Linked DNA regions of Cricetulus griseus. The protein of the gene in region 3 purifies or fractionates together with the protein of the main gene of each other region. This does not show direct contact. Links are inferred from orthologs where the notes say so. Each region holds a gene or a part of one and is shown on either strand. Other genes may lie near its edges.

Region 1 (4,842 bases), on a different chromosome or scaffold from region 3:
AATTTTGTCTGGATGTCTGTCTCTGCACTATCTGAGTGCCACATGCCTGCCGAGGGCGGAAGGGGGTGCCGGGCTCCCTGGAACAGGACTTACCCATAGTGGAAAGCCTTAAATAGTGATGGGAATCGAACCTGGCTCTTTTTCCGAGGACAAATGCTCTTAATTGCCGAGTCATCTCTCCAGCCCCGTGTGTGGTTTGTTTTCAAGACAGGCTCTCACTTTGTAGACCAGGTTAGCCTTCAGCGTACAAGAATCCTTCTGCCTCAACCATCCTACTGTGTGGGAGGTTGGACACAAACTAATTTTCCACTCATTTATTTATTATTTATTTATTCTGAAACTGGGTCTAAAGCTGTACCTCGGGCTGTACAGGAACTCTCTTAAGTAGCCCAATTGACCTTGTACTTCCTGAGATCTTCCTGCCTTGGAGTTACAAAGCAGGTGTTAACCGTGTGAACCACCCCTGCTGACTCTTAGAATCATTTTGTATCCCTCTTACACTTTCAGGATACTCAGTTTCTATCAAATGAAACCCTGGGAAAAGCTTCTGGGCTCTGACTCCCATTTCTCAGTTCCTGGACTCTGCCACAGCCTCCCGTAACGAATAGAACCAACCAACTGAAAACGACCACTTGGCTTCCTTCACCCAAGTGTCTTGAGAAGCATCCCATTTCATCGTCTGTATTGATAGGACGACCATGGTGTCTTCAGCGTGGTCCCAAAGGCCCAACCCCACCCCACCCCCGCCGCCGAGGTTTACAGCTTTCTCTCTCTCTCTGAACATCGGTCCCAAGCAACACTTCTAGTCTGAAAAATCCTTGCAATTTTGTTTCTCTCTCGAAACATCCTTGGGACAACTCCCTTAGGAGCCGGAGGGCCATCCTTTCTTCTGGAGGGATGCGAGGGAGTGCTGCTCACTGAAGTTACTGTCTTGGGACCACAAAGAACTAGATAGTAAGATCAGGGCAGGGTGCCACATTTCTCCGGACTTTCCGCTGAGCTATGCAGTCCGCCTTTACCAGAGCCACTGCGGTGGGCAGCTTGCAGGGCGCGCCCATCCCATCTCCAATTCAGGGCACCTCAGACATCCCAATTACCGTTAAGTCCCAAAACTTCTTAGAGCACAAAAACCTCTCTCAGGAACAGAGGATAGGAATCTCGTGCGAGGTCACTTTCCATTAAAAATAAATACAATCACACCCACACGAAAGGTACCCACTAAACCTCCCACAGTATCCACCCATGCCTAACTTCATATTGCAGCGTGGACAATAGAGAACTACAACTCCCAAAAAGGACTGCGCTCGCCACTGGCTCACAGACCAATGGTCGGCTGGCACGTGATCGGCGGATCTAATCAGCGGCAGGCTGGAGAGGCTTTGTCTGCGACCAGGGGCTCCCGCCTATCTCCCGCCCCCGGCTGCGCGAACGCGCGCCCCGCCCTGCGCGCCTTCCCTCCTGCGCTCGCCGGCCTCTTCTGCCTCTTAGAACCTTCCTGCGGTCGTGCTCGCATCTCTCTGCTGCAGCCTCCGGAGCCACGTTCCATCCCTTCAGCCTGAGACCAGCCAAAAAAAAAAAAAAAAAAAAAAAAAAGAACCAATTATCTTTTCTTGCTCGGTACCTACCTTGAAGCCAGCACAAATTTATTACAGTAAACCGTAGCCATGAGGGAAATCGTGCACATCCAGGCCGGCCAATGTGGCAACCAGATCGGTGCTAAGGTAAGAATTTTTAAATTGGTACCGGATACGCGTGAGGATGAGAAATCCAGGTTAATCATGATTAATGTTACCGGGTGTTAGCATTCTCCCTCCGCCGGCTTTGGCCCCTCAAAGTTCTGCGCGAACAATTATAACCCATATTTGTAGCTTGCGTTCTGAGAAATATTTATCTTGGCACATTTTCCGAAAGCCATTAAAAGAGACGCCTGGGTTTAGGGGACGGAGAGTCTGAGGAGGGACTGGAGTGCTTATCTAAAAGAGGGGATTTCTAACGGTTCGAGAACGGGAGAGGAGAGATGCGGAAACGATCCGAGACAAAGCCGAAGCGAGGTTTTCCCCTTGCGCCACCCCCACCCAGCCTGGAGGGCCTTAGCGGAGCAGGACTGGCGGGGGCAGGGGAGAGGTTGGGCGGGCAGCTGCAGAGGTCTCCGGGCCGCATCACCGCTCGACAAAGGCTTGGAGACCCTCGCGATCTCGCCATCCCCTGGCTCGCTTTTAGGTGGATGGTGATGATTCCGTGCGGGGGGCTCCTTTTACTTCATTGCCGTTAAGAAATCTTAGGGTGTGACCTGATGGGAAAGTGAGAGGTTTGTGTGTCTATAAGAGGTCCCTCGGGACTATGTGTGTGTTTGGGGGAAAGCTATTTAGGGAAGAGAAGGTAGCAAAAGCAAAAAAAAAAAAATCTGAGGCCATGGTTTTCTCTTTTTTTTTTGCGCGCAATTACAATGTAGCGGGGGATGGGTGGAGAGGAGGAAGTGCGGCCGCTAGATTGTAGCCGAAGGGTGGGACCCTTTGGGGGCGGGGCTAGCGCCCCTGGCGCGCAGGGACAATGCAGCCCTTGCTGGCGGGGGCGCGCTGGCCCCGCCCCTCGTGCCAGGCCCCGCCCACGCTGCTCCCGCCTTTGTGGGCTGCTGGAAGAGCGGCCCGCCACCGCAGTCACGTGGAACGCGTAAGGGGTGGGCGACTGCAGTGGCCGCACCTTCCTACCCCATCCCTCTTTTGTGCTGGCCTGGAGGGGCGGTGCCCACCCTGAAGCGCTTGGCTGGGTGCTGAGCCGAGGGGGCGGATGGCAGTTCAGTCAGCCCATATGGGTGCTTGCAACCCTCAGCCCCTTGAACTGTCCATCACTTGACCAGGGCCACAAAGGTGGCGACCTTCCCCGGTTGGAGGTTCGGTCGTGGAGGCTCGGCAGGCAGATAACGGAATTGCAGTATCAACCCGTCCGCCTCGTTTGAGCACGTCTAGAGTTGAAATGCGGGCGGGGAGGCATCCCTTAGGACTTCAGCCATTGAGGCCTGGCTCATTGCTCATTGCTCTGTCTAGTTCTGGGAGGTGATCAGCGATGAACACGGCATCGACCCCACCGGCACCTACCATGGAGACAGCGACCTGCAGCTGGACCGAATCTCTGTGTACTACAATGAAGCCACAGGTGAGGGAGGGAATCCAGCTTCTTTTTTCTCTGTTAACACTTATCCCTGGTCTTTTTAAACCCTGCGCCCTTCTGTTGAGACAGGGTCTCGTTATGCAGCCATGGCTGCCCTGGAACTTACCTCCCTAATGCTGCTTTTAAAGGCGGCCGCACCACGCCCTGTTTTCCCACGTTAAGTGCCTGTTAACCCGGTTGCTGGGGTCTCACCCTTTTCCATTAGACACCCACCATAAGTGGGCCAAAGATTAGCTCTGCTGCCGCCGGGTGGCAGTGCCTGGAATGGCAGTTTAGTGGTTTGTGGTATTTCCCACCCCAGATTTCATCCTCGCTGCAGAGGGCTCTGACAGTTCTACTTGAATCCCTGTAGGTGGCAAGTATGTCCCTCGGGCCATATTGGTGGATCTAGAACCCGGGACCATGGACTCCGTTCGATCAGGTCCTTTTGGCCAGATCTTCAGACCAGACAACTTTGTTTTCGGTGAGTTACATGGAATGAATTCCTTTGTACCCAAGGGCATGATTCCAGAGGTGAAAGGTGAAGATTAGTAATGATAATGACGTAATTTTTTTCCCTTCTCACCACATTCCAGGTCAGTCTGGGGCAGGCAACAACTGGGCTAAGGGTCACTACACGGAGGGAGCTGAGCTGGTTGACTCTGTCCTGGACGTGGTGCGGAAGGAGGCAGAGAGCTGTGACTGCCTGCAGGGCTTCCAGCTGACCCACTCGCTGGGTGGAGGTACCGGTTCTGGTATGGGCACCCTGCTCATCAGCAAGATCCGAGAAGAATATCCCGACCGAATCATGAATACCTTCAGTGTGGTACCCTCACCCAAAGTGTCTGACACCGTGGTGGAGCCCTACAATGCCACCCTGTCTGTCCATCAGCTGGTGGAGAACACCGACGAGACCTACTGCATCGACAACGAGGCCCTGTACGACATCTGCTTCCGCACTCTCAAGCTCACCACGCCGACCTATGGGGACCTCAACCACCTCGTCTCGGCCACCATGAGCGGGGTCACCACCTGCCTCCGCTTCCCAGGCCAGCTCAATGCCGACCTCCGCAAGTTGGCGGTCAACATGGTCCCCTTCCCACGTCTCCACTTCTTCATGCCTGGCTTTGCCCCTCTCACCAGCCGTGGGAGCCAGCAGTATCGGGCCCTCACTGTGCCTGAACTCACCCAGCAGGTCTTCGATGCCAAGAATATGATGGCAGCCTGTGACCCCCGCCACGGCCGATACCTCACCGTGGCTGCCGTCTTCCGTGGGCGGATGTCCATGAAGGAGGTGGACGAGCAGATGCTGAACGTGCAGAACAAGAACAGCAGCTACTTTGTAGAGTGGATCCCCAACAACGTCAAGACCGCCGTCTGCGACATCCCACCACGCGGCCTCAAGATGGCCGTCACCTTCATTGGCAACAGCACGGCCATCCAGGAGCTCTTCAAGCGCATCTCCGAGCAGTTCACGGCCATGTTCCGCCGGAAGGCCTTCCTGCACTGGTACACCGGCGAGGGCATGGACGAGATGGAGTTCACTGAAGCCGAGAGCAACATGAACGACCTCGTCTCCGAGTACCAGCAGTACCAGGATGCCACCGCGGAAGAGGAAGAGGATTTCGGGGAGGAGGCAGAAGAAGAGGCCTAAGCCAGAGAGAGAGAGCCCTGCGTCTTCTCCTCAGGCTACTT
Region 2 (3,485 bases), on a different chromosome or scaffold from region 3:
GAAGCCAGGTTGGTGTCTTCATGCTTGAGCTGCCCGTCCAGGGCAAGGCCACGCTTCTCCCGGTTGTCACTGAGCAGTGGGGTTATGGTGTACACCTTGCAGAACGTGGAACTGGGAGATACCTGGTCACTGGGGGTTGGGAACAAGGGAACAAGATTCTTGGAGAGACTGGACTGAGGGAGATTCATCATACCACCCTCAGGCGGTACTTCCTCCTTCTCTGTCCATCAGGGCAGATTACGAGGGGGTAGGTTCTGATGCAATCTGCTAACAGCCTGGAGCCCCCAGGCTGCAGAGGGACACCCTTAGAAGTGAGATAGGTTATAAGGAACTCTGCATTCTCATATTCTCCCCTAAGTTGGGTCCCACGGTTGTCCCATACTCACTCTTGCTCAAGCTGAGCCACAGGACACTTGTACTGCGCGGTGCTGAAGAGGCAAATGTCGGCATACTGTCTCACTGTGGGGTAGGGGACCAAGTGGCTTTGGGTGAAGTATAGACTACTACTGTACCACAACTCCAGACCACATGGTGTGAACCCCACTTGGGGGCAGCACACCCCCACCTCCTACCCCTGGCCAACAGCCCTCCTATAATAAACACTAGGGCTGGGCATCATCTGGGAACAGACTAAATTCTTTATGCCCTGGTAGTTCTCCCACACTGGGATATGGCCTGGGCTGAAATGGCAGCAGAAGCCCCTTGTAATCAGGGACTTCCTTCCCCACACCCATGTCCACCCCCACCTCCTACCAGAGACTCTAATCTTCTTGACGGTCTTGGCCGAGTTGTTGGTGACATGGACGTTGACATTGAGTGGCTCCCCGTGGTAATACAGCTTTTGAAGGGAGGGGATGACACAGTTTGCACTTGCTTCAGTGGCTCCAACTTGGGTACCTCTCTGATAGAGGCTGCTCTGCCCCACCTCCAACCCCAGTCCATAGCACCTCCACCCAAGTGAGGCAACCACCTTTAAAAAAAAAATCCCAAACCACCATCCTGCCTGTCGCTTCACCCCTCCCCCAGGCTCTGGCCTGCTTTGTGGCATCTCTGTCACTCTTTTACACCTCACCTCTTTGTCCAGGGAAGCCTCTAGGTGCAGGGACCTCCGGTCAGACATGAGGAAGTGGCGTGTGGTTTCTGCTGAGGGCTGGGGGCCAGGTATCTCTGGAGCAAACTGTACCTTTCTGATGATAAGTCGCACCGAGTTCCTGAGTCAGGGGGTGGAGCAGGGGAAGGGTTAGTTCCAAGACACTACAATTCAACTAAGATTCCTACCCCCAACAGGCGCCAGGGGCTCCATAAGGCTGGGAGGGAGTTGTTAAACCAGAGACAAAGTTTCTCTCACCTTTTGTGGCTTTTTTCTTCTAGAGATTTGGCACAGAAGGCACGAATCTCAAAGTCGACTCCACAGGCCTTGGAAGGGGGAGGAAAGGCCACCTCTTACCCAAGGCTCCTGTTGCCACTTCCAACACACCCCTTCCTTCCTACTTGCTTCATTCCCCTTAAGTGTGAACTTTTGCCCCATCTCGGAAACACGGACTCTCTTGCCCCACTGTCTCCTAGTCTGGCACCTTACAGAGGCTGGCTCATGGCAGTGCATGGAGGAACCCCCATACCCAGGTACATGTTCCAGATGCAGTGACCACACCATGCACACCCATGTCCATGGGGACACCTCCTTGTCTTCAGGACCCCCCTAAACTTCACCCTCTGGTTCAGTTGTGTTTTGTGCTTCTGCTGAGCCCAGTTCTGTTCACACACTGTGATAGCTGTCCCTCCCTTACCTTCCCTGTGTCCTCTGGTCCTGGCTGCAGTGTGACAGAGCAAGGCAAATTCTGGGGTAACTGTGGCAGAGAAAAGGAGGGGTTTCAGTCCCTGGTAACAGGTGCCTCATCCCATGTCAATCCTGCAGCCCCCCCCCCCCCCACTCCTCGGAGAAAAGGGAGCATCCTCACTGTGAAAAAAAAGGGATGGGCATGCTGGCCCAACTTCTTCAGCAGTCGGTCCTGTAGCCGGGTGGGGGGCCGGGGTGGGTTGGGCATGGGGGGAAAGGCTTGGTAGGTGGCAATGAACAGATCTTTGCGGAAAGACAGGCCCAGTACATCCAGGTCTTCTCGGCCATAGCGGAAGGCGCAGGTGAGGGTAACAAACACTGGAAAGCGAGGGCAAGGTGGGATGATCAAGAGACATCCTTCATGTCGCCCACATCCTTCCTCAGCACGACAGACTTCCCTGAATCCTACCCCCTGCTTCTGCCTCAGCCTTCCATCTGTCTGGGACACCCTACCAATGCCAACCCATCGAATTCCTTCTTCTTCCTGCCTCCCCTCCAGCTCCTGGACTTGGGTCTAGTACCTTTGCGGTCCTTCAAGTAGTCAGGATCCACGAGCACCACGCCATCTAGGAAAGGGAGACGTGGATTCATTTTCTGAAGGCGGCCTTTCCCCATCCCCAGAACCAGGAACCTCCTCCCTCCTGGGGGGATGAGCTACCCCCTTCTAGGCAAACTCACCCACAGGATCCACTTTGTCCAGGTGGTCTACAAAGTCGCGCTTGCCCAAGTACACGGTGAGCTGAGGATGTCAAGGGTCACAGGCAAAATTGGGGAGGATGGTGGCAAGCCACCAGAGCCCTCAAAGATGGCGGCCCTGTCCTGGGCTCCCCTTGGCTGGGTTATCAGGAAGGAGTTTCTCCCAGTGTTATTGGAAGGTGAGAGTGGTAGGGCTTTCCAGACTATTCAGTAAAGCTTTCATTTAGGCTTTTGTCTGCTCCTCTGGTCACTTTTCATACCGCTGTCCACCAAGCAAGGACAGAGGTGTATGTGTGTATATGTGTGTGTTCCCATGTCTTCAGGGAGCACTCAGTCAGACCAGGCAGTTAGCAGCTCTCCCCACAAAGGGCTCTGCAATAAACAGGCCACAGCCTGGGGAACTATTAACTTTTCCTAGTCCCAAGTACCCTGGGTTGGTTCCTAAGAGAATTACAAGCTTGCTTAGGAACCTAGCCTGGTCCCCACCCAGCCCTGTGGCTTCTTCAGACTGTGGCAAGGGGCTTAAGGAGGGAAGGAAGTCTGCTTTTAGCTGTCACAGGAAGTGGGGAGCTAAGGGTTGGGGATCAGCTGGGGGTAGGTTGGGCTTTGATAGGGCCCAGGAAGGATCGAAGCATAAGCACTGTGGGTGACTCACCTTGCAGTTAGGGCTCGACTTCTTGAAGACCCTAACAAAACAGAAAGGGAGACCCCACTGCCTCCCTTAGACTCAGCAGGGACCACCACACCAGGACTTATCCCTCCCTAGCCCAAGAAGTGGAATTCACCCTGGATCCCTGGTCTACCCTTCCCACTTTTTTTTTTTTTTAACAAAGTCCCAGTATTTTCCACATGGCAGCCCCTTGAAGCCAACTGTCAGGGCAAACACTTGCTCCTTTGATTTGATCCACCTCTACAGTAATGGCCACTGGTTGCTCCAGGAACCATCTAGACT
Region 3 (3,159 bases):
GATCTGTCTGTCTCCACCTTCTGAGTGCTAGACTAAAGGTGTACACCACCACATGTGTCTGGTGTCTGTCTTCTATGGATCCCTAGTAACTTGAAGTACAGTATGCAGTGCTGTGTGTGCCTTCAGAAAGGCTCTAGAAGTCACCCAGAGGATAGTGTCTTCCAGAGGTCAAGGCCATCATCAAGTCCTATGGTTGCAAGAGTCAGACACCATCCCAGTGAGGCCACCAGCCACTGGGCTCTCTGTACATGTGCAGTCCTCCATACCAGCAGGGAGCCCAGCACCTGGGGGCCTCTAATAATTGTTTTGCTGGGCAATTGTTCATCTCTTGCTGCAGTTCTACAAGTAGCCACCAGGTGGCACCAACAGCATACCCAGTGTATCGGGAGGCTGCTGGGATTTGACACTCTAGCATGACCTTGGCTCCTGTCACCTCCAACCAAACCCAGAATGGTCCTCAGTTCCGTTCAGTCGCAGAAGTGCTATATGACTCAACCAGGGCCTCCTGAGTCCTTTCTGGACTGCACCCCATTATGCTGTTATCCTTCCTGGTATCCAGGTCCAGCTTACTGCTCTGCCTAGACACAGCAAAGAGGGCTGGCAAGTGGCACGCTTTGGGGAAAGTCAAGGGAAGACAGACAGGATTCCCCACTTGTCATTAGGAGGTACACCGGAGCCTCAGGTGACCCTAGCCACATCCCTTCACCTCCAAACCCAACAGACAGGCTCCACACTCCACACCATCCAGCAAAGCAAACCACAAACTTGAAAAGCAATTTTTATTGAATTTGGAGGGACAGTTTCTTATTATAATAGTAAAAATGCTGAAGTTGACTGTTGTAAAAAACGACATGGTGCAGCAATGGCCACAGTGTCTGGCCAGGAGGGGACAGGCCAGGGGGACAGCTGGAGAAGGAAAGCATCTAAAGGACAAGTGCTAAGAGAAGAGCTCATGAGGCAGACACTCTCAGTGCTCCCAAGAGCTGCCACACAGGGGGGAGGCAGGGGCTCTTCTGTCACCGAGATTGAAATCCCCTAAAACGTCTTTGAACAGTGTGATAGGCAGCAACACACTGCATCACTGTTCCTGTCAACCTAGGTGAGCCCCAGCCAGCCCACCCCAGAGGGAGGGAGAGAGCCAGCCAGCATACAACAGGGAGGTGTTTCTGGTGCCCTCCGGTTGGACGGTGGCCCTGGACCCTAAAGACAGGTGGCAGCCAGGGTAGCCAGGTCGATGGAACAGTGACAGGACCCACCTAGACCCATGAGCCCACATTGCACATGGTCTCAGAAGTCCTTAATATTTTTCTACACGAATCTAATTGTTCTGGGCACTGAGGCCACATGTGCCCTCAAATTGGATGAAATAAATTAAGAAAAACCCCAGGATAATTTTCCTCCTGACCTGGCTGGGAGGTAGGCTGCTGCCCACAGTAGAAACATTCTCCCCTGGTCCTGGAGGCTGGCAAGGTTCCTCCCCAGCGCTTCCAAGAAACAAAACCATCAGATACAGATGATCCATGCGGGGCTTCTGGACTCGCAATGCAAAGGAGTGATAGCTGCCAGCTGCTGCCCCAGGCCTCAGGCTGTCCCACTGGCTGAGTAGGAAAACTGGGGGAAGTGTGGCCTCCTCTCGCTGTCTACACACTCCATGCTGTCATCTGTGGGGACAAGAGATGGCTCAGACCCGGACTGCAGGAACAGCCCTCCCACCTGCCACATAACGGAGGACATACGGAGGTCTGACACGTGGGCACAGTGACCCTGGCCCTCAGAGTGCTCCCTCCCAGCCAGTTCTACCACCCTCCAACGGAGTATATTGGGGGCTGGAGAGAAGTCTTAGTGGTTAAGAGCACTGGCTGCTCTGACAGAACCCAAGTTCAATTCTAGCACTCATGTGGCATCTCACAACAACCTGTAACTCTACCACCCCACCCCCAAACTGGAGTCTATAAAGCTTGACACAGGCACCTCAGAGCAGGGAGGCCCTCACCTTGATCAGGCGGTGTGATAGTGATCATCTGGGCTGTGAATTCCTCATCGAAATACCTGGTGTCAGTCTCAGAGGTGACCTGGGGCTTGAAAGGTGGGCTCAGCTGTGGAGGAACAGTAGAGGACTGGTTACAACTCCGTTCCAAATTCCAATTCACAGCGTTCCAGCCCCTCTCCATCTCCAGGCAATACTGACTTCCTGAGGGGCGAGCCACTAACACAAGGGCTCAGCTCTAGGTGGAAGTAGGTGGGCACTGTAGACAAGGAAAACGGCACCCAGGGCAGCCCCAAGGGGCAGAAGGTAGTGACTGTGCCCATCTCTTGGCAGCAGGATCCTATCTCCTTTTTTCTGCTTGTCACTTTCTTTGCAAGTTTTCTTATAAATGGGGAAGGAGACCAGACTTCTGGTGAGCTCACCTGCCTCACTGACATACCAGGGAGAAGAGGCAAACTGGAAAGTGATGCATATATAGAGGTTGCTAACATCCCCTTAGGTCCCACAGGCAAGGCTCCTCAAATACCATCCCCCCAAAATCTGGTGTGATTTTGTCACATGTCACATGTCAACTCAAGGGACCTCTAGTCTGGTATGGGCAGGTATGCCATCTACACCCCCATATGATCAGAGGGCAGGGCTCCAGCTGCTCGCATGTGACCTAGAAGGGATCGTTCAAGGTAGGGGCAGGCTTGGTGACAGGGCACCCAACACACAGTGTGGATACCTCATCAGCCTGGCCCAAGGCTGCTCAGGAGCCGAAGGGCACCCCAACAGATGTAAGCACAAGGGGCTCTGCTCTTTGCCAGTGGCCTCCACTATGCCAGAAAGACAGGTACTGTCCAAGAGAATGGGATGGGGCTCCTTTGGAGCTAGAGGTACCTAAACATTACTCTCAGCTAGCTTTTAACACGTGAGGAGACCTCCAGGGATAGTCAGGAGCGAGGGCGTAGGTGTAGTCAACACAGGGGCACAATCAAGGGCCTGGGCAGGCCCAGTGACTGGGTGAGGTGCACAGGGCAGCATAACACCCTATCCTGTGTGAGTAAGGAGGGCATGTGTGTCCGTCCCTGCAGCTCTGTGGTGGCATATGATCACCACAGAGCTGTGGCCCATCACGGGCATCTGCACCAGTGAAAACTGAAGAGTGTTTGTATGTGTGCGCGTGCACA
Region 4 (4,052 bases), on a different chromosome or scaffold from region 3:
ATCATCATGACTCTCCGCCAGGCTATTGCCATCCTTCTCTCCTGCCTCCTCTATGGCCACACTGTCACTGTGGTGGGGGGACTGGGAGTGGCTGTGGTCTTCACTGCCCTCCTACTCAGAGTCTATGCCCGGGGCCGTAAGCAGCGGGGAAAGAAGGTTGTACCAACTGAGCCCCCAGTGCAGAAGGTATGAGGACTAAGGACCCTCACTCTGGTTTTCTGTAGCTTATCAGAGGCGCTGACTCAAGGGCAAAATTATTTTCAACATCTCAGTGTACAGCAGAGGATTGGAGCCCTGGAGGCAGCCTCTTTTGCCTTAAGAGCCCCACCTACTTACTTGGTAGTTGTGGGTCTGAGTTATGGAGATAATCCAGATAGAGCTCCTCCCCACAACCTGAGACCTTGGTTTAGCTGGTAGAACTGTAAACCAGCACCTAGCCTTTGCTTGTTTTTCCTTTAACACCCAACCCGCAAGACTGCCAGACATAGCTGGTCAAGAGCAGCACAAAGTTTACAGGTCCTAATGTGGTTGGGGGGTAGGGGGGCACACTAGTGAAAATGGTGCTGTGCCAAACAAAGCCCTGCCCAGCCCCTTTGGGGCCTTTGTGTTCCTTGCTCAAGTTTTGCTACTTGGGAATGTCACCTTTTGCTCTTATTTGATTAAAACTGCAGCAGTGACTTGGCCGTGTGTTGGTTGGTTGAAAGGGGAACTACCTCCCATCCTGAGTGGTACTTTACAAGGAGAATAGTACTATATGAAACTGCATTTTCTTTATTTTCACATACTTTTAATTTCAGAACAAAATAAAACAAACAAAACCACAATACACAATACCCAACCCTGCTATTCTGTGGGAGGGGACTTTCCTGCCTTAAGGCACAAGGACAGGATAAAGAGATCCTCTAGCTTGAACAGAGAGCCAGGTAGGTTGGGGCCAGCCAAGGCATGGGGGGTGGGGCTCAGGGAAACTATACAGAGGACATGGTCTTCCCAGGGGATCTCTAATCTACTTCTTCCATGCGGGAGGCATCCTCATCACCCTCGAGTGGGGGGATCTCATCAGGAACAGCAGCACTGGGCTCCTCTGCTGTCACCTCATCTTCATCGATACCTAGAAAAAGAAAAATAAATCTTGAGCAAAATGGTAGTACTAAGTCTGTGCGGGGATCCAGCCAGTCCAACAACTTGCCACCTATGTGGCTCACAAGGCTGACTCACCCAGGCCTAGTTTGATCATGCGGTAGATGCGGTTGGAGTGGGTTTGGGGATCCTCAAGTGAGAAACCAGAGGAGAGCAGAGCAGTCTCAAACAGCAGCACCACCAGATCCTTGACAGCTTTGTCGTTTTTATCTGCCTCAGCCTTCTGCCTCAGAGTCTCCACGATGGGGTGGTCAGGGTTGATCTCTAGGTGCTTTTTGGCCATCATGTAGCCCATGGTAGAGTTGTCTCTGAGTGCCTGGGCCTTCATGATCCGCTCCATGTTGGCTGTCCAGCCATAGGTGCTTGTCACAATGCAGCAGGGTGAAGACACTAGCCTATTGGAGATGGTCACCTGTGGACAACCAAATGGTCAGTCACAAGATGTAGCCTTGGCTGTCCTGACACACACTCCATGTGGAGCCACATAAAAAGTTCTTTGTGGAATGACAAAACTTCAGCTGCTACTCTGGATGCTGGGTTAGGGTCAGGGAAACACACAACAAGGCCTTTTCTTGCATGTATGATTTAGATGGTGTAATCACTGTTATATGAAAAAAAGTTCTTACTTCACCAACAGATACAGTATTGCTGGGGGAAGGGCCCCACACTAACTGTACAACAGCATAACATTTCTAGAGGACAAACTTCCAACAAACTTACCTTCTCAACCTTCTTATCCAAGATCTCCTTCATGAGCTTGCAGAGATTCTCAAATTTTGCCTTGCTCTCCTCCATTTTCTTCTTCTCTTCCTCATCTTCTGGCAGCTCCAGGCCTTCCTTAGTCACTGAGACCAGACTCTTTCCATCAAACTCCTTGAGCTGTTGCACGCAGTACTCATCAATAGGCTCAGTCATGTACACCACTTCAAAGCCTCGCTTCCGCACACGCTCCACAAAGGCAGAGTTGGCTACCTGCTCTTTGCTCTCACCTATAGGATTAAAGACTCAGTGACCAAAGGCCTTTATAACTGCAACATGTCCTGTCTTCCCCAATCCCACACCTTCAAGGCAGCTTTGTGCTCAGACCCAAGCTCCCTCCAACATACCAGTGATGTAATAGATGGACTTCTGTGTCTCCTTCATGCGGGACACATATTCTGACAGGGAAGTCATCTCATCTCCAGACTGAGAGGTATGATAGCGCAGCAGCTCAGAGAGACGCCGACGGTTAGTGGAATCTTCATGGATTCCAAGCTTTAAGGGTAGGAAAGAAAAGTCCAAATATGAGCTGAAAAAAATACTTTCAACACAAAGTCATCAGAAGAAAAATCACTTGCTCACTATACCTTTAAGTTCTTGGAGAAGGCCTCGTAGAATTTCTTATAGTTCTCTTTGTCTTCAGCCAGCTCAGAGAAGAGCTCAAGGCACTTCTTCACAATGTTTTTACGGATAACTTTCAGGATCTTGCTCTGTTGGAGCATTTCTCGAGAGATGTTCAGGGGCAGGTCCTCAGAGTCCACCACGCCACGGATAAAGTCTACAATCAACCAGAGCCAAGGAACAGGTGAGGTGGGTCAGACCTGGTCTGGTTATCAGATTTAAGTCACCCAGCCAAGTGAAGGTTTGGGAAGCCAAGGACTGTAATTATCTGGGTTAAAGATAGTCTCAGCTGTATGCTGAAGGTATACTCACTGAGGTACTCGGGGATCAGCTCATCACAGCTGTCCATGATGAACACACGACGGACGTACAGTTTGATATTGTTCTTCTTCTTCTTGTTCTCAAAAAGGTCAAAGGGAGCTCGCCGAGGAATGAAGAGCAATGCTCTGAATTCCAACTGACCCTCTACAGAGAAGTGCTGAAAAACCCAGTAGTACATTTCAGGACAACATCACCTCAAGTCCCAGTATCAGAGATCTATCACTGAAATGCCACACCCCAAAAACCCTACGATGAGAAACTAGCTCAAATACTAAGTAAACCTAGAATACTAGTAGCAAAAAGTATCCCTCCATGGCAGTCATGGCCACCACCAGAAGGTAAAAAAGTGAATTAAACCACTGCCAAGCAAGGCCTGAGTAGTTCCCAGAGACAGTCATGATGTCCAGTTGAACAAGCTGCTTGGTACCACCTCCAGCACATTCTATGTACCCCTCCAATTAACATACCATGTAAGGTTTCTCACCTTGACTGCCAAGTGGTCCTCCCAATCATTGGTGAGGCTCTTATAGAATTCACCATATTCTTCTTGAGTGATGTCATCAGGGTTTCTGGTCCAAATGGGCTTAGTCTTATTCAACTCTTCCTGATCAATGTATTTTTCCTTAATCTTCTTTGTTTTCTTTTTCTTATCTTTGCCACTGTCATCTTCCTCATCTGATCCCACATCTTCAATCTTTGGCTTTTCCTCATCATCCTTATCTTCTTCCTCTTTCTCACCCTTCTCTTCTTCTGCCTCATCATCACTGATCTCCTTCTCTCGTTCCTTCTCCAACTAAATTACCAAATTGGATAATGAGTTGTGGAGAACTTATCACCAGCAAAGACTGCTCAAATACTGCCAAGTCCATACTCACATAGAGGGTGATGGGATAGCCTATGAACTGCGAGTGTTTCTTCACCACTTCCTTGACCCTCCTCTCCTCTAAGTACTCTGTCTGGTCTTCTTTGAGATGAAGGATGACTTTGGTACCCCGGCCAATGGGCTCACCTATAAAAAAGTGAATGATAGAATCAAGACATAGAAAACTACAACTAAGCTGGGCGGTGGGGTGGTGCACGCCTTTAATCCTGGCAGGAGGATCTCTGAGTTCAAGACCAGCCTGGTCTACAAGAGCTAGTTCCAGGACAGCCTCCAAAGCCACAGGAAAAACCCTGTCTCAAAAAACCACAATGAAGAAAAAAAAAACAAA
Region 5 (4,826 bases), on a different chromosome or scaffold from region 3:
ATGTCAGCAATTCACAAAGTTCAATTCAGATTTTCCCTTGAGCTTCACACCCAGTCACTCAGATGTCCCAACAACTGTAAGGTTTATTACTTTAATGACCATCTCCTAGATCCTCTTCCCTAGCAGTTCTTCATTAGGTGATAGCACTCTTCTGGGTTCTTTGGCGTCTGCTGCTCCTTGATTGACAGTACTAGGAGTCAAACCCAGGGCCTTGTACATACTTGGCATATGCTATGTATACCACTAAGCTGTATCTTCAGCTCATACATTTTTAGCCACACCTTTAATTCTGTTTCCACTGCTTCTTGTGCCTCTCCTTATTGTAGATGTACACTGACTAGATTGTAAGAATCTATTGAGGTAGCTGGGCGTTGGTGGCGCACGCCTTTAATCCCAGCACTCGGGAGGCAGAGGCAGGTGGATCTCCTGTGAGTTCAAGGCCAGCCTGATCTACAGAGCGAGTGCCAGGATAGGCTCCAAAGCTACACAGAGAAACCCTATCTTGAAAAACCAAAAAAAAAAAAAAAAAAGAAAAGAATCTGTTGATGTCAGCTGTCTTGCCTGTTAGATCATATGCTTGAGGACAGAGTCTGACAGCTGATGTTCTTTCTATGCAAGTTAATGGGAGAGGGGCATATTGGAGAAGGAGGCCATAACTTAGGAGAGGGAACAAGCTTACTATTTGGCTCTGGTATTGAAACTAACATCTAAAAATGGAATGGAATTAAAATGTTTTGGAGGGATATAATGACAAAAAAAAACATGCTTTTGATTACTGATGAGGCAGATAATAACACAAAACAGGATTTTCCTACTTATCAACCCAGAACACACAAAAGAAAACATATATAGAAGCTTTAAGATGAAAACTATATCTGATTAGTATTTTCATTCTCTAAGAACATATATTTTATAAAGAGAAGTGTACAAACAAAACAATTGGGTGGGCTGGGTCAAACTGACAGCCTGGAGCCATAAAAGGAAATTCCCTCCAGTCCAGGGATGCAGATCTAAGGGGCGGGACGGGGCGGTCTGTGGCTTAGGCTTGCAGCCTCCGGATGCCTTAGTGCTGTGGTCATTTCCTGTAAGGGGGCTGGAGGAGGGGCCTTGAGCTGATCCAGACTTGGTCACCCAGAATCCCTCAACAGCTGAAGGAGGTATGTAGCTTTAAAAAAATTGTTCCTCCAGTTAGCCCTCATCTGCTAACACAATCAGCAAAACCTTTCCCAGGATGTGAGTATATCCCTTGCTATCAGTCTTGTCTCCCAGACTTCTCATGTGTTCTGACCTAACAGCCTCCGGCAGTCTTGGCCTCAGTGTAAGCCCAAGCTTGAGAACAAAAATAAATGCACTGAGTTTTGCTCACTGTCACCCCAGGGCCTAGATTTCTATCTCAAGAAAGCCTGTAGGATATTAACCACCACCAACAACACACCCTGTCCCCTTAAGCCACCAAATCTTTCTGGTTTCCCTAATGATGCCCTTTCACCTTTTGACAGCAAGGAATCTTCCAAAATGTCACTCCCACTGGGGACAACAGCCTAAACTTCTATTTCCTTACCAACAAAACATGTCTCAGTGTGTACCAGAGCTTACGAATCATGTGAAAAATGAAACTGAATATTACAGAGAAATAACACAGCCTAAAGGGAACTGGTGAAACCTGGCCTAAGATGACAGATGATCCTTTACAACCTAAAAAAGTACACTCTTCTAGTCACACATGGTGACAGCAAACTGAAAACCCAGCACTCAGGACGCTGAGGCAGTAGGATGGAGGCCACTCTGAACTACATGACACCCTATCTCCAAAAGCAAACCAAAACCACCTACTAAACTTTCCCAACAACACTTTTCTTTCTTTCCTGTATCAGCCAGCATTTTAGAAAGTGTTCATATTTTCTCCGTTTCCTCGCTTCTCATTCACTTTTCTCCTTTCCAGAAGCCTGCCATCTCGAGGGCATTGATTATGTCTGATTTAAGGACTCTAGTACCCACTATAGGTGGTGTTCCTTATTTGAAGGAACCCAGTATAAAGCAGGTTCCTGTTAATTTTCTGCAGTTTCATTTACAAGATCAAATATGACCTAAATATAAGTTAACTGAAGAACATAAGATACTCATTCATGTTCTTTAACTTCTCAGAAGCCTATGCTACAAGTGACCAGCTCATTAAAACATTCTTTAATCTTAATCCATTTTCCTATTTCTCCTTCAGAAGGTTGATACCTGTCAGTTGGATAGGCTTCTAATCCTCTGCTTTAATTTCTTGCTCTTTTGAGGTACTATTTTTCACACTATAGAATCTTCAGATACCATTTAAATGATATTTGTGGTATCTTGGTCTCCAAGTCAGACTTCTCCTGAAATTCAAATCTACACAACCAACAACCTGCCCAATATTTCCCAGTTGCTGTAGTGCCACCATAACTGTATCAGTCCAGACAGAACATCAGCAACTTCCAAGTATCCAAGTGCCCAAACCTCACAAACCCCAGGCCATCTTTGACTACCCTCAGTTCCCATGTCAAGTCAATTACTTCATCCTTATGACTCTGGGAGAATCTCACCACTTCTAGTTTTTCAACTGTCCGAATTCTAGTCCAAAACATCACTTCAAGGCAACTTCCAGGATGACATTAGACAAATGGACAGTCTCATCACCACACAGCTTCAGAACTTTGCTTACAGACATCTGTCCTTTTTCACTTCTATCCAATGCTCCAGGGCACAGAAACCTATTCTCCAACCACATGTAATTCCAGGCAATTGCCTGACACTCTGGCCTGCCATTGACATGAGTTCACAGAGGCTGCAAAGCAACCCGGAACCTCTGAATGTGAAGCTTAGTTAATAAATTCAGTTCAGACACAGCTTCCTCAATGTAGATACCCCTCCAACAGTCTGTGCTTACTATACTCTTCACACTAGATGGCAAAATCAGCTGCCCCCGCCCGACATGAGCACCCCACGTAGCGGAGAGTAGACTGACAGCCCTTCTCTCACTCTCCAGCGCTTCAGCTCACCCCTGATTGAGGTCGTTCTCTGTGTTGTCCAGCCACAAGCGCACCGCCACCGCGTTGCCCTCCCGGCACTGAGTGAAAATGTCGTCCATAGCGGCGTCCCGGACAGGAGAAGCCTTGGGGGACTGCGGGAAAGCAGAGACAAGAGGATGAGCTCTGCTCTGTTCTCTGCAGAACAGAGTTGTCTGCTCTGGGATGGGGGGCTAGGCGTTGCGAGAGTGACAGTGGTCGTCTGTGAAGGACTTCGGGCAGCGAGACGACCACTGGGCGCGAGGGACAGGCAGGGTGTGGCGGTATAGGAGGGACTTTGCTAATCTCCTGAGCCGGTGTCTGTGGGCACCGAGTCCCGACCCGCGAGCACGGCTGGGGGGGGACGGACGGGGGGGAGAACAAGCTGCAAACACCCGGAGGAGGAGACAGAGGACCTTCCCGGGCGGCCCCGGCTCCCAGCTCGTAACTGCTGCAGAGATCGCAGAGATGGGTTTGCAGGGCCAATGTGGGGCAGGGCGCAGAGACACCCGCACTCACCGGGACTCGGGCCGCAGGCGCCTTCTCCGGGGAACTCCCGTCCGGCCGCGCCCGCCGCCCGGCCCCGCCCCGCCCCGCCCCGCCCGGCCCTCTTGGGCCAGAGCGGGCCACCGTCCCTCCCTTCCGACCTCCTACTGCCTCTCTAGCTCCCGGCAGCTGCACTCGATGGTGCTCTGCTCCGCGCCGGCCGCTCTAGCCACCACAGGCTTTCACTCTGTGGCTTCCGGCTGGATTTGGTTAGGGTCCAACGCTACGATACCCTGACGGGCTTTGCACGTGGCCGTGGCGTGGGCTCCGGCGACCCTGCCCTCCACTGGCATGTTCGAGGAGCCCGAATGGGTCGAGGCGGCCCCAGCAGCCGTGGGCCTCCGTCCAGCGACAACACAGAATCGGCCAGCGACTGCTCCGCCAGTCAAGGTGAGCGGCCGGGGACTGGGCTGTTTGAGGTGGCGAAGCCGACCCTCCCGAGCCGCCCTTGTGCGTGTTGGGGAGACCGAGAGCCTGCAGTGCTGTCGTGGATCGGGATGGAGGGAGTTAGTCCTTATCTGAAGATCCGGAAACTCCCCCCCCCCCAAAAAAAAAAAAAACTGACCTTAAAATACAGTTGGTGAGAAGTTGGTACAGAGGAGAGAGCGTACCTGAGATGGAGAAAAACCTGGAGAAGCCCAGGGGTTAAACACACCGAGTTAGAGTGTATCAAGATAGGAATGCGAGGTTCGGAGGGTGGAGTACAGAGTAAATGAAAGGTTTGAAAAGTAAGTTTTCGTACGCTAAGGGTAGAAGTCAATGGAGTTGCTTTAGCAATGGAGTGGTTTCGCCACATTTTCTATCACCAGGCATGACTTTATACTGGAGATCAGTTCCAGGGCTTGGTAAGCAAGCATTCACTACTGAGCTGCACCCCCAGCTTGGAAAGGTTCTTAGTTGCACTGTAGAAAGTATATTGGACACAGTCAAAGCAGGTGGCAGGGATGGTTATCAGGATCACTATTTTAAAAAAGGTATGGGGAACCCAGAATTTCCGAGGTAAATGCCTGGCCGAGGATCAGCAGCAGGACTTGAACCACAAGTCAGCTTCACAGAAAACAGGTCTTTCTTTTCCTTTGAGTTTCATCGAATGTGAGAACTATTGTATCTCCTTTGGGTATTCCTGACTTTTAGTCAGCCCAGGGTGTTCTTTTAATCTGTATTCCATCCTTCTAATGCAGGCCGCTGGCCTGCCTGTGTGCAGCCTCATCCTACCTGGCTATTATCGCTACTGCAGTTAGGAACATC
Region 6 (4,937 bases), on a different chromosome or scaffold from region 3:
AGCAGCCACTAGGAGTACCACCTGGGGTGGCGAGGGGGGGGGTGTAGAGGAGGAAGGGAGGGAGAAGGAAACTGGGATCATCATGTAATTCAATCTTGCTTGTAATTCAAATATATAAAAAATTTTAAAAAAGAGCACCACCTGTACATTCACTACATTCCCTTCTAAAAGGGACCTGCCCACCTCCCATCTTTCTCTCTCTCTACCTGTCTCTTCTCTTCTGCCACTCCTGTCCCCAGAAGCCAGTCTCCCCTCTCCCCTTCAGTTCACTTCCCCCAATAAAAAACCCCTCCACATCTGTAGAATGGTCCCAAAAGCATTAAGCTCAGCCCTATTTACAAAAGCAGAACTTCGGAGAAACTCTAAAAGTACAACAATGGGAGCTGGATATGGTACACCTGCTATAGTCCCAACTATTCTGCAAACTGAGGCAGAGGGAACTCTCCACCTAGCAACACAAGAGTTTCCTCTCAAAACAAAACAAAAATATTTTTAAAAGACACAAGTAAGAGATCTAGTTAGGAAGAGAAAGGGAAACAATAGAGGTAATGGGCAAATACAATAAAAATGGAATGTCATAATAAAATTCATTGTTATGTTATTAATATATGCTAATAAAAACATTTTAAAATATGTCTGTTAAACCACCTAAGGAAATATGCAGGCTTGAAATTTTTAATTGAGAATATTGTGAAGACATTTTAGCTATCAAGCACCCAGGTAAAAAAGGTGGGTATGGTGGCAGGTACATGTAATCGTAGTGCTGGGAAGGCGTAGACAAGCAGATCCTTAGGGCTTGCTGCCCAGCCAGCCTAGCCTACATGATCCCATCAGAGACCTAGATCTCTAGGGTAGACACTATCTCAAAAACAACAAGCTAGGTAGAAGCTGAGAAGGAACAACACCTGAGGCTGTCCTCTAGCCTCTACATGCATGCATATACAAGAGCAGCAGCACACACATAATCACATACAATAGGGCTGGGAAGATGGCTCAGTAGATAAAGCCCTTACCCTGCAAGCTTGAGGACCTGAGTCCAGATTCCCCAGAACCCATGGAAAAACTGGGCATGTGCAGCGGTCACATGTACTCTCAACACTTAAAAGACAGAGACAGGATACCTGGGGCAAGCTGGCTTCCTAGACTACCTGAATTAACAAACCCAGGGTTCAGAGAAAGATCCTGGATGGTAAGCAATCAAGGAAGATAAATCAATTTTTGGCCTCCGTTCACATGAGCACACATACACAGACATGCAAACACATACATTACAACACATATACACACAAAAAATAAAAGCAAAATTGAGGATTTATCTTAGTGGTACAGCATTTGCCTACCAAGTGCAAGGTCCTGGGTCCAGTCTCCAGTCCCCAAAAAAATCATTGTTTTAAATTAAAAAACAGGGGCTGGAGAAATGGCTCAGTGGTTAGCACTTTTACTGCTCTTCTAGACAATCCAGGTTCAATTTCCAGCACCCACGCAGTGGCTCTCAAACATTAGTAATTCCAGTTCCAGGGGACCCAATACCCTCTACTGACAGCAAGCATACAAGTGGTACACAAACACATGCAGCCAGAACACCCATATATATAAAAACAAATTTTAAATTAAAAACAACAACAACTGAAAGTACTTGTGGTTCAAGCTTGCAACCACCAGTTAGAGACAGGAGGAGCCCATGTTTGAGGCCAGCCTGGGCTACAGAATAAGCCTGACTCAAGTTGTAAACTAATTACATGGAAAATTCAAGATAACCACTACATCGAAAGTCACCGATAGGGCACTGTGCAAACCATTCTCTTTATAGTCTTTATGGGCTATAAAAAGTACACTGGGTAAAAGAAGTTCAGACAGTGTATTGGGTCTTAATTGTAAAAAGATAAAATTATGCTGACCAATACAACCACGAAATTGCTGCAAATCATCTGAAATAAATATAACTTAAGACTTTACACTGAGAAAGTCATTAAGCAAAATTTAAACCAGCTGTGAGATAACCCAAAATGTGGGTGTCTCTTTCTCATACTGCCTGACAGGGGATATTACGTCTGAGCAACTGGCCTATGAAGACAGCTTTCAGAATGAGAGAAGAATAAATCAATTCTACAATCAGAGCCCAGTTTCAACTTGGAAAATCAAAACCGGCACAAAATCTATGGCAAAAGTGTCATCCAGCAAAGCAAGCTCTAGCCCTTTTCTTTCTTTTTTTGTGGGGGAGGGGGGCACACTCCACTATAAATGCATATAAAATATATATTTCTCAGCAAGTATTATTTAAGAAATCCACCAGCAACACTGTTCTATATTCCTTACTATATACGAAAGCTGGCAAAAGGATGAAGTTGACGCAAGTTAGAGACCACCTTTTAAAATACAACAGATTTCATTCCGTACTGAAAAGGAAATTTGTTTTATTTTCCCAGACTGTCTTCAGCTAGAGCAACCATATTAGCATCATCCCCAACGCACATTAACAGGGCTTTTATTTTGATGACTTTATTCGGGCCAAGTCTGCAACCCAAGGCTCTGCAGCCCAGGCGCCTTCCGTCACCCGCAGGGCACAGCTCAAGTGACAGCCTCGGACACCGACACACCGCGGGGAGCAAGACGCACACCGCTGCGTCCACCGGCGTTGCACACACGGCCTCGCAGCCCCTTCCGAAGAAAACTAGCCACTGCGGTCCCTGCGTGCCAGGCCTCCTCGGAAAACGCCACGACCAGGACTTATCTCGCCACATCGTACCATCCCGATAAAAACAGCACCTCCCGTGAAATGCAAGGGAGACCCGGCGCGGATTCAAGAGCCAGGCCCCATCGGAGACAGCGAAGGCCGCTCCATCCGCGGCCCAGCCGCGCGGGCCTCCAGCCCGGCCCGGGAGTGTAGGGCGCGGTCCCCGCAGGCAGCGACCCCGGGCGGCGGCGCCCACCTGGGCCGCGCGCGGGCACCTGAGGCGCCAGGCCCGCGCTAGGCCGCGCGCTGTCCTCGGCCACCGCCGGCACCTTACCTGCGGACTGTCTTCCAGCGTCTCTTCAATGGGCAGCTTGTCGATCCCCGGCATCGTGGCGAAGGCTGGGCGGCGGCAGGACACTCAGCAGCCGCCCACAGCTCGGCGCGGCGCCCCGCCTGCAGCAGCTGACCCGGCCCGCCCTCTCGCAGACGCCGCCGCCCCAGTCAGGCGCTCAGAGGCCACCGCGCGGGAAATCCCGCCCTCCCGGGCCTGTCAGTCCCGCCTCCCGCACGCCCATTGGCTCGCTGCGACGCCCGTCAACGCGCGGGGCCGACCGGGGAGATTCCTTCGCGACCGCTCGCCCTCCTCAGAGGTGCGACCCGCGCAGACCGCACTGCCTGTGAGCGCCGATCTTCCCGTACTTGAGAGTGTAAGGGGCTGTCTGTCAAGCCCGCGCGCGGTTAGCCTGAGCTTGGGGTGAAAAGCGCTCGAGGGGAACTTGAGGCAGTTTTATGTCTGCACCATATTTCGTCAGCAACCTTGGAAAAATCCCTACCCCTGGCCCCATAACCTTTCCAACCCTGCTCGAGTTTTCAGTCTTAACTCCTGCAAAAGTGGTGCTAACTCACAAACCTCTGAAATCCAAACTTGTGTCATTGGGTTTACAGTTAATTTGTAGGTAGTAGACCCCCAGATCGTTTTTTTCTGGACACACACCTGGTTATCAATACATACACTCAGTTTAAAACCCTTGCGTTAACAAATCATTAATTCTTACCTGGCCTTAAAGTTTGATGTGCTAAAATTATGGCCATCGTATCTCCTATATATCACAAAGGAAAACGTCTTTTTAAATAAAAATTAAAAAGACACAGTTGCTGGAGAACGTATCTCCGTCAGCATTTCTGTTTCACCAAAAGGTTTTGGAAGAGACTTAAATAGCTTCCCGGTTCTCCTTGACTGTAGAGTGCCGTTCACACTGTTGGAGATTGGGCATGTAAGGGCTGGAACGCTGTTCTTTTTTCTGTTTCAGCCTTGTTGCATCCTTTTCTCCAGCTTCACACTGCTTTATTTATCGGTGGCGTTAATCAAAGTATTTATCAGTATACAGAGAAAGTGGCAAAATCACTAATATTTCCCCCAAAACAATCTACCCATTAACCCCATCAGTCTCTTCCACTGTCATTCACAAAAGTACGGTCACCGAGAGAAGAGCATTAGCTTCCTTATTCTCCTGCTACTTCAACTGAACCAAATCCAAACACCGTAGAGCAAGTCCGTATATGGTCATAACGAGCATGAAGTTGCATGTTTGAAATTAAAGCTACTAGATTTCCCCCATGATCTCTTGAAAGATTAAAACTTGTTTCAGAAGTTTTATGACAGACTTGTATTATAGTGTCACAGAATTGTCTTTAGTGTTACAGTCCTTTTATGAGAACTCACCCCTTGGATTCTCTACCAACTAGTCACCCTGTTGAAGAGACCCTTGGCTTTTGAAGAAAGGTGGCTTGGAGCCAGTTCTTACTTACATTGCATGAAAGGTTTCAACTTGTATTATGGGTATCTTATTCTTACTACTTCTTTTTACTAGGCCAGCACAAGCAGGATACAACTGGCTATAGAGGAGCAAAGCTTTCAAGCAGGGTGTGGTGACACATATCTGTCACCCAACATTCAGGAAGAAGAGGCCCAAGGATCCTTGCAAGTTGAAAGCCTTTGTCTAGCTATGAGTCCCAGGCCAGCCAGGACTCTATAGTGAAACCCTATGCCAGAGAAACAGAGAAATGGTGGAGGGGAAAGATGACAAAGAAAACTTTCAGTAAGTGACCTTCTTGCTTAAACTGTAATTTGTAAAAGGGAAAAAATGCAAGATAAAGATAACTGATAATAATCAAGAATGACAATTCTCAAATTATGAGAAAGAAGAGTAATTAGTTGGTGTAACAAGAGGAATTAACTAATCAACCAACTTGGTCAAGCCAT
Region 7 (3,781 bases), on a different chromosome or scaffold from region 3:
TAGCCCGAAGGACTCAGCACCTGTAGGAAGTCAATAGGCTGGAGGAGGTGACCTCAGCTCGGGACAACTAGGAAGCTCTGTCCTGCTCTCGGACAGACTACGTGATATCTGAGGCCCCATTCCATCTCAGCTCTCCCTGGCCAGGCTCCCCCCCACCATTCCCTGCTCACTGACTCACTGGAGGAGCGAGAGCGGCCACTCATGAAGACGTTCAGGAACTTCTTAGAGAAGTGGACATCAGGCTCATCTGGGGTGGAGTCCTCTGAGAGGCAGGTGGGAGGCCGGGGCTGAGGGGCCTCCTCATACTCCTCACCAATGGCTGACTCATAGGGTGAGGAGGCAGAGGCACAGTTGTCATAAACAGTGGCAGAGTCGCTTTCGTCACTGTAGTCTCCGAAGCATGGCCGCAGGCTCACCAGCTCAAGCTGGGCATGCTCATCCACCACCAACGTGTACTTGACCGAGTCGTAGGACAGAGCGCTGGTGTCCGAGCTCAGTGATGCCCGTGGAGGCGGCGGTGGCTCCCCGAGGCTTCCCCGCCACCCTCCACCTGGTGGCTCAGCTCGCTCTGGGGATGACAGACAGTCGAAGCCCTCATCCTCTTCACTGATGGAGGGATGTGGCCGCCCTGCAGTTGTGGAGTACACAGCGGGGTCTGGATCAGAGCTAACTGACATCCGGCTCTCAGTGGGTGGCAAGAAGGTGGAGGTGGGCCCTGCAGGATCTGGCGGCCTCTGCACCGGGGTCAGGTAGATCTCCTCAGTTGCCTCCAGCCGCACATCTGCCTGGTAGTGGATTCGGTCTCGATGGGAGTGGCCCCGGCCACCAGGTGCAGTGGCAGGTTGACCACTTGGAGGTGCCATCTGAGTAGCAGCGCTGCGGCGACAAGGGCTATCAGTAGAGGTGCCTCGGTCCTTGGTGGGGACAGGACTGCTCTGGGGTGGTAGTTCATCACTCAGGCAGATGTGTTCATGTGGAGGTGTCTGCTCCCCTAGAAGACAGGCAAGTTGGTACTGAGAGCTGGACCCGACTTCATATACCTGTCCCCTCCTCTTCCCCATTGTGCTCTATCAGCAGGCTCTGTAGCCAGTTACTGGTTCCCTGATGACCTCAGCCCAGGTGGTGGGCCAGGTGAAGACTACTGGGTCTCCAGCTCAGGGAGAGAAAGGTCTCACTTACCTGTCTTCAGAGGGGAGGATGATCGAGACACGCGGTCCTGCCAACTGTGCTTTTTGCCTAAAGAATTATTATTCAGCGTGTCCTGTGCAGAGAACAAAAGGCTCTTATGAAGAAGTGGTCAGCAGTGCCCGGCACAGGGAGGCCCTGGGCCTGCCCGCATCAGGCCATCCCTGTGCTGTTCCCACCCCATCTGGCCTTGCCAAAGGCCTCTCTGCCAACCTTCCTCTAGCCGGCAGGCAGGGTGGGAAATTACCACCCTCCCCAGAGGCCTGCTGGCTTGGAGACAGCTGTCATGAGATGCAATGGTGGTGCTGGCCAGTGTGGGTGCTGATTAGTGGATGTGGAGGGAGAAGCACAGCCCCCAGGAGAGTCAGACAGCAGCACAGACACTGAGGGAGGACATGTTCTGATGCTCAAACCCAGACATGGTAAAGGACAGGGTGACTGACTCAGAAATCTGGGGTGGTAGGGGCATTCTGGCACAAGGAAGGGTATCCCGATAAGCTGGCCTGTGGGCCCGGATGAATCATTCAAACTATGACTCCATAACACTCACCCCCACTTCACCCCACGTGACTAAGGAATGACAGATGTACTGTCAGCAGCCCTCCTTCCTGGATCTCCCAGAATGCTCATGCATCCCACATTCTGAGCCCCCTGGGACCCCTGCACAGTGCCCATGCACAGGGCTCTCCACACACAACTTAGGCTCCCTTTCCAGCGAACACCATAAGCAACACACACATTTATGAGTTGAGCGGCCAGAAACCATGCCAGAGGATACTGGGAAAGGGACCAAGCTCTTCTCTGCAGCTCCTCAACTATACACCAGCAACTCCACCTCCCCAGCTCCTCCTCTCCCAGTACCTCTCGTGCCTAGGCCTACAAGACAATGGGTCAAGGCAGTCCTCTTTGGCATCCAGCCACCTGCCAGGGGCCCTAGGTCCCCAGCTCAGTCAAACAACTCCATCCCCCATCTCTATGGCTTTCTGGAATGTCCAGCTGCTGAGATGTCCAGCTGGCTGCAGACCCTGAATTCCCATTCCCGTCTTCATCCCATTTCAGATGCTCTTTTCTCCAGGCCCTGCTGCTGCCTCAACCTTCACAGAAGCCCCCTAACCCAAAGAGGACCTTGTCACAAATGTAGGAACCCAACTCCTTTGTTAGTCCCCTGCGACTCTTCCCCACTTGAATCCTTGGCAACCCTTTCGACTCTTCCCAGGCTCCATAAGCAGCCAACTGGACTCATCCCTTGCCAGAACAGACTCTGCTGCCCGCCGTCAAACCCTTCCTCTGGTCCTACCAGCAGAAAACCTAGAACCTTTCCAGGCACCCGTGCCAAGGTTCTAGACCCCCACCAGCAGGGCCCACGCCCCTCCATCTTCCCTGTCCACCCAGGGCGCCGCCCCCTCAGCTCTGCCTCACCTGAGACCGCGGCACCTGCGGGAAGAGGTTGAGCGTGGTAGGCCGCTTGGGCCGGTAGGTGTCTCCGCTGCCCGTGCCCGGGCCCTGGCCTTGGCTGCGAGGCACCGGTTCTTGGCCCGATTCGGCTTTGGGAGGCCCCACTCCCTGCCGTTGGGCAGCGAGCTCGTCGTCCTCCTCCTCGTCGTCGTCTTCGGCTCCGGGAGTGTCTCCTGCCGCGTCGATCAGGTCCATCTGCAGCATCTCCGCCTGCAGCCGGCTCCCCGCGTTGCCGCTGCCACCCGCAGACAGCAGCCCGGTGCGCGGGGGCTGCGCGGCGCGGACGGAGGGGCGTCAGGGGAGGGACTTGTGAGCGGGGGAGGGGTCTCGCGGGAGGGGCGGGTCTGATGCTGGTGTGCCCCGCCTCCCCGCCGGACGAGTCCATTCTGCGGCCGCGCGGGGAGGGAGACAGAGAGCCGAGCAGAGGCCCGAGCACTGGGCCGCTCTCGCCCGCCCCTCAGCGAGGCCGCGTCCCCAGGCCAGAAGGTACCGCCCACGCCTCTCCGCTCCCACGGTCTCCCCTCCGGACTCTCTGCACCCTCCCGTTACCTTGGCAACGGCCAGTGACCTCACCCGGGTGGTAAGCCGAGCCCAGAGTGAAATCACCGCTGTTGCTATGGAGACCTAGGGGTCGCCCAGGAATTCCAGCCCCAATAGGGATGGGTGAGACAACTGGCTTTTGAAAGGGCCTTTGTAGCAAATTGGGGAAGGTGCGTGTCAGTCGGGTGAGGAAGACTGCAGTGGGAACTGGAGGCCCTAATTGGATCGGAAGGGGGACCCTGAGGAGTAGCTCTTCCCAGTTCGTTCTAACCTGAACACTTCCCTCACCCAACCCTGCCACTAACTCCTGGCACCTTGGACAGATCCCCTGACTCTTCATCCCTCAGGCTGGTCTTATACAGCAGTCCTCCAAGTTACCAGAGAGGAGACACCGCAAAGTGTGCCTGAAAGCAGCTGAGACTTTGACTAGGCTCCCACCAGGGAGCTCTCCCTAGTTAGCGTAGCACTACCAGGGTAGAGGTGGAGGTGGTTCTGGCTAATTGCAAAAGACCCTCTTAAAAGCTTTGCATGTGGGAGACAGTAGTTTCAAACTCCAGAACAGGTATGAGACCTTAGAAGTCATGACCCAGCTCTGGGACCA

What was found.
Region 1: the proteins of Akt1 (region 3) and Tubb purify together in Homo sapiens (affinity purification with mass spectrometry, with the first as the bait; 3 studies listed by BioGRID). This does not show direct contact. The link is inferred for Cricetulus griseus from reciprocal best matches to the Homo sapiens genes AKT1 and TUBB.
Region 2: the proteins of Akt1 (region 3) and beta-arrestin-2 purify together in Homo sapiens (affinity purification with western blotting; 4 studies listed by BioGRID and IntAct, with this or other methods). This does not show direct contact. The link is inferred for Cricetulus griseus from reciprocal best matches to the Homo sapiens genes AKT1 and ARRB2.
Region 4: the proteins of Akt1 (region 3) and heat shock protein HSP 90-beta purify together in Homo sapiens (co-immunoprecipitation; 3 studies listed by BioGRID and IntAct, with this or other methods). This does not show direct contact. The link is inferred for Cricetulus griseus from reciprocal best matches to the Homo sapiens genes AKT1 and HSP90AB1.
Region 5: the proteins of Akt1 (region 3) and Ilk purify together in Homo sapiens (affinity purification with western blotting; 3 studies listed by BioGRID). This does not show direct contact. The link is inferred for Cricetulus griseus from reciprocal best matches to the Homo sapiens genes AKT1 and ILK.
Region 6: the proteins of Akt1 (region 3) and Appl1 purify together in Homo sapiens (affinity purification with western blotting; 3 studies listed by BioGRID, with this or other methods). This does not show direct contact. The link is inferred for Cricetulus griseus from reciprocal best matches to the Homo sapiens genes AKT1 and APPL1.
Region 7: the proteins of Akt1 (region 3) and Mapk8ip1 purify together in Homo sapiens (affinity purification with western blotting; 3 studies listed by BioGRID). This does not show direct contact. The link is inferred for Cricetulus griseus from reciprocal best matches to the Homo sapiens genes AKT1 and MAPK8IP1.

Annotation. Positions count from the first base shown.
Region 1 is NW_023276806.1:229,740,234-229,745,075, reverse strand, and holds the start of Tubb (tubulin beta-5 chain), read left to right. Parts: upstream 1-1,478; 5' UTR 1,479-1,664; coding exon 1,665-1,721; intron 1,722-3,044; coding exon 3,045-3,153; intron 3,154-3,520; coding exon 3,521-3,631; intron 3,632-3,743; coding exon 3,744-4,801; 3' UTR 4,802-4,842. UniProt on the Homo sapiens protein: Tubulin is the major constituent of microtubules, a cylinder consisting of laterally associated linear protofilaments composed of alpha- and beta-tubulin heterodimers.
Region 2 is NC_048600.1:84,234,548-84,238,032, reverse strand, and holds part of beta-arrestin-2, read right to left. Parts: intron 3,220-3,485; coding exon 3,189-3,219; intron 2,577-3,188; coding exon 2,516-2,576; intron 2,404-2,515; coding exon 2,359-2,403; intron 2,156-2,358; coding exon 1,959-2,155; intron 1,848-1,958; coding exon 1,788-1,847; intron 1,417-1,787; coding exon 1,349-1,416; intron 1,212-1,348; coding exon 1,073-1,211; intron 839-1,072; coding exon 754-838; intron 460-753; coding exon 387-459; intron 130-386; coding exon 1-129. UniProt on the Homo sapiens protein: Functions in regulating agonist-mediated G-protein coupled receptor (GPCR) signaling by mediating both receptor desensitization and resensitization processes.
Region 3 is NC_048598.1:181,401,073-181,404,231, reverse strand, and holds the end of Akt1 (RAC-alpha serine/threonine-protein kinase), read right to left. Parts: intron 2,097-3,159; coding exon 1,994-2,096; intron 1,662-1,993; coding exon 1,582-1,661; 3' UTR 763-1,581; downstream 1-762. UniProt on the Homo sapiens protein: AKT1 is one of 3 closely related serine/threonine-protein kinases (AKT1, AKT2 and AKT3) called the AKT kinase, and which regulate many processes including metabolism, proliferation, cell survival, growth and angiogenesis.
Region 4 is NW_023276807.1:31,885,007-31,889,058, forward strand, and holds the end of heat shock protein HSP 90-beta, read right to left. Parts: intron 3,851-4,052; coding exon 3,717-3,850; intron 3,635-3,716; coding exon 3,326-3,634; intron 2,999-3,325; coding exon 2,833-2,998; intron 2,678-2,832; coding exon 2,487-2,677; intron 2,395-2,486; coding exon 2,247-2,394; intron 2,130-2,246; coding exon 1,861-2,129; intron 1,553-1,860; coding exon 1,219-1,552; intron 1,112-1,218; coding exon 1,002-1,111; 3' UTR 756-1,001; downstream 1-755. Other genes in the region: Slc35b2 (adenosine 3'-phospho 5'-phosphosulfate transporter 1), read left to right, coding at 1-192. UniProt on the Homo sapiens protein: Molecular chaperone that promotes the maturation, structural maintenance and proper regulation of specific target proteins involved for instance in cell cycle control and signal transduction. Undergoes a functional cycle linked to its ATPase activity.
Region 5 is NC_048596.1:93,963,441-93,968,266, forward strand, and holds the start of Ilk (integrin-linked protein kinase), read right to left. Parts: upstream 3,142-4,826; 5' UTR 3,116-3,141; coding exon 3,027-3,115; intron 1-3,026. Other genes in the region: Rrp8 (ribosomal RNA-processing protein 8), read left to right, coding at 3,870-3,968. UniProt on the Homo sapiens protein: Scaffold protein which mediates protein-protein interactions during a range of cellular events including focal adhesion assembly, cell adhesion and cell migration.
Region 6 is NW_023276807.1:192,714,974-192,719,910, reverse strand, and holds the start of Appl1 (DCC-interacting protein 13-alpha), read right to left. Parts: upstream 3,063-4,937; coding exon 3,009-3,062; intron 1-3,008. UniProt on the Homo sapiens protein: Multifunctional adapter protein that binds to various membrane receptors, nuclear factors and signaling proteins to regulate many processes, such as cell proliferation, immune response, endosomal trafficking and cell metabolism.
Region 7 is NC_048599.1:84,351,197-84,354,977, reverse strand, and holds part of Mapk8ip1 (C-Jun-amino-terminal kinase-interacting protein 1), read right to left. Parts: intron 3,265-3,781; coding exon 3,190-3,264; intron 2,937-3,189; coding exon 2,605-2,936; intron 1,262-2,604; coding exon 1,180-1,261; intron 992-1,179; coding exon 179-991; intron 21-178; coding exon 1-20. UniProt on the Homo sapiens protein: The JNK-interacting protein (JIP) group of scaffold proteins selectively mediates JNK signaling by aggregating specific components of the MAPK cascade to form a functional JNK signaling module. Required for JNK activation in response to excitotoxic stress.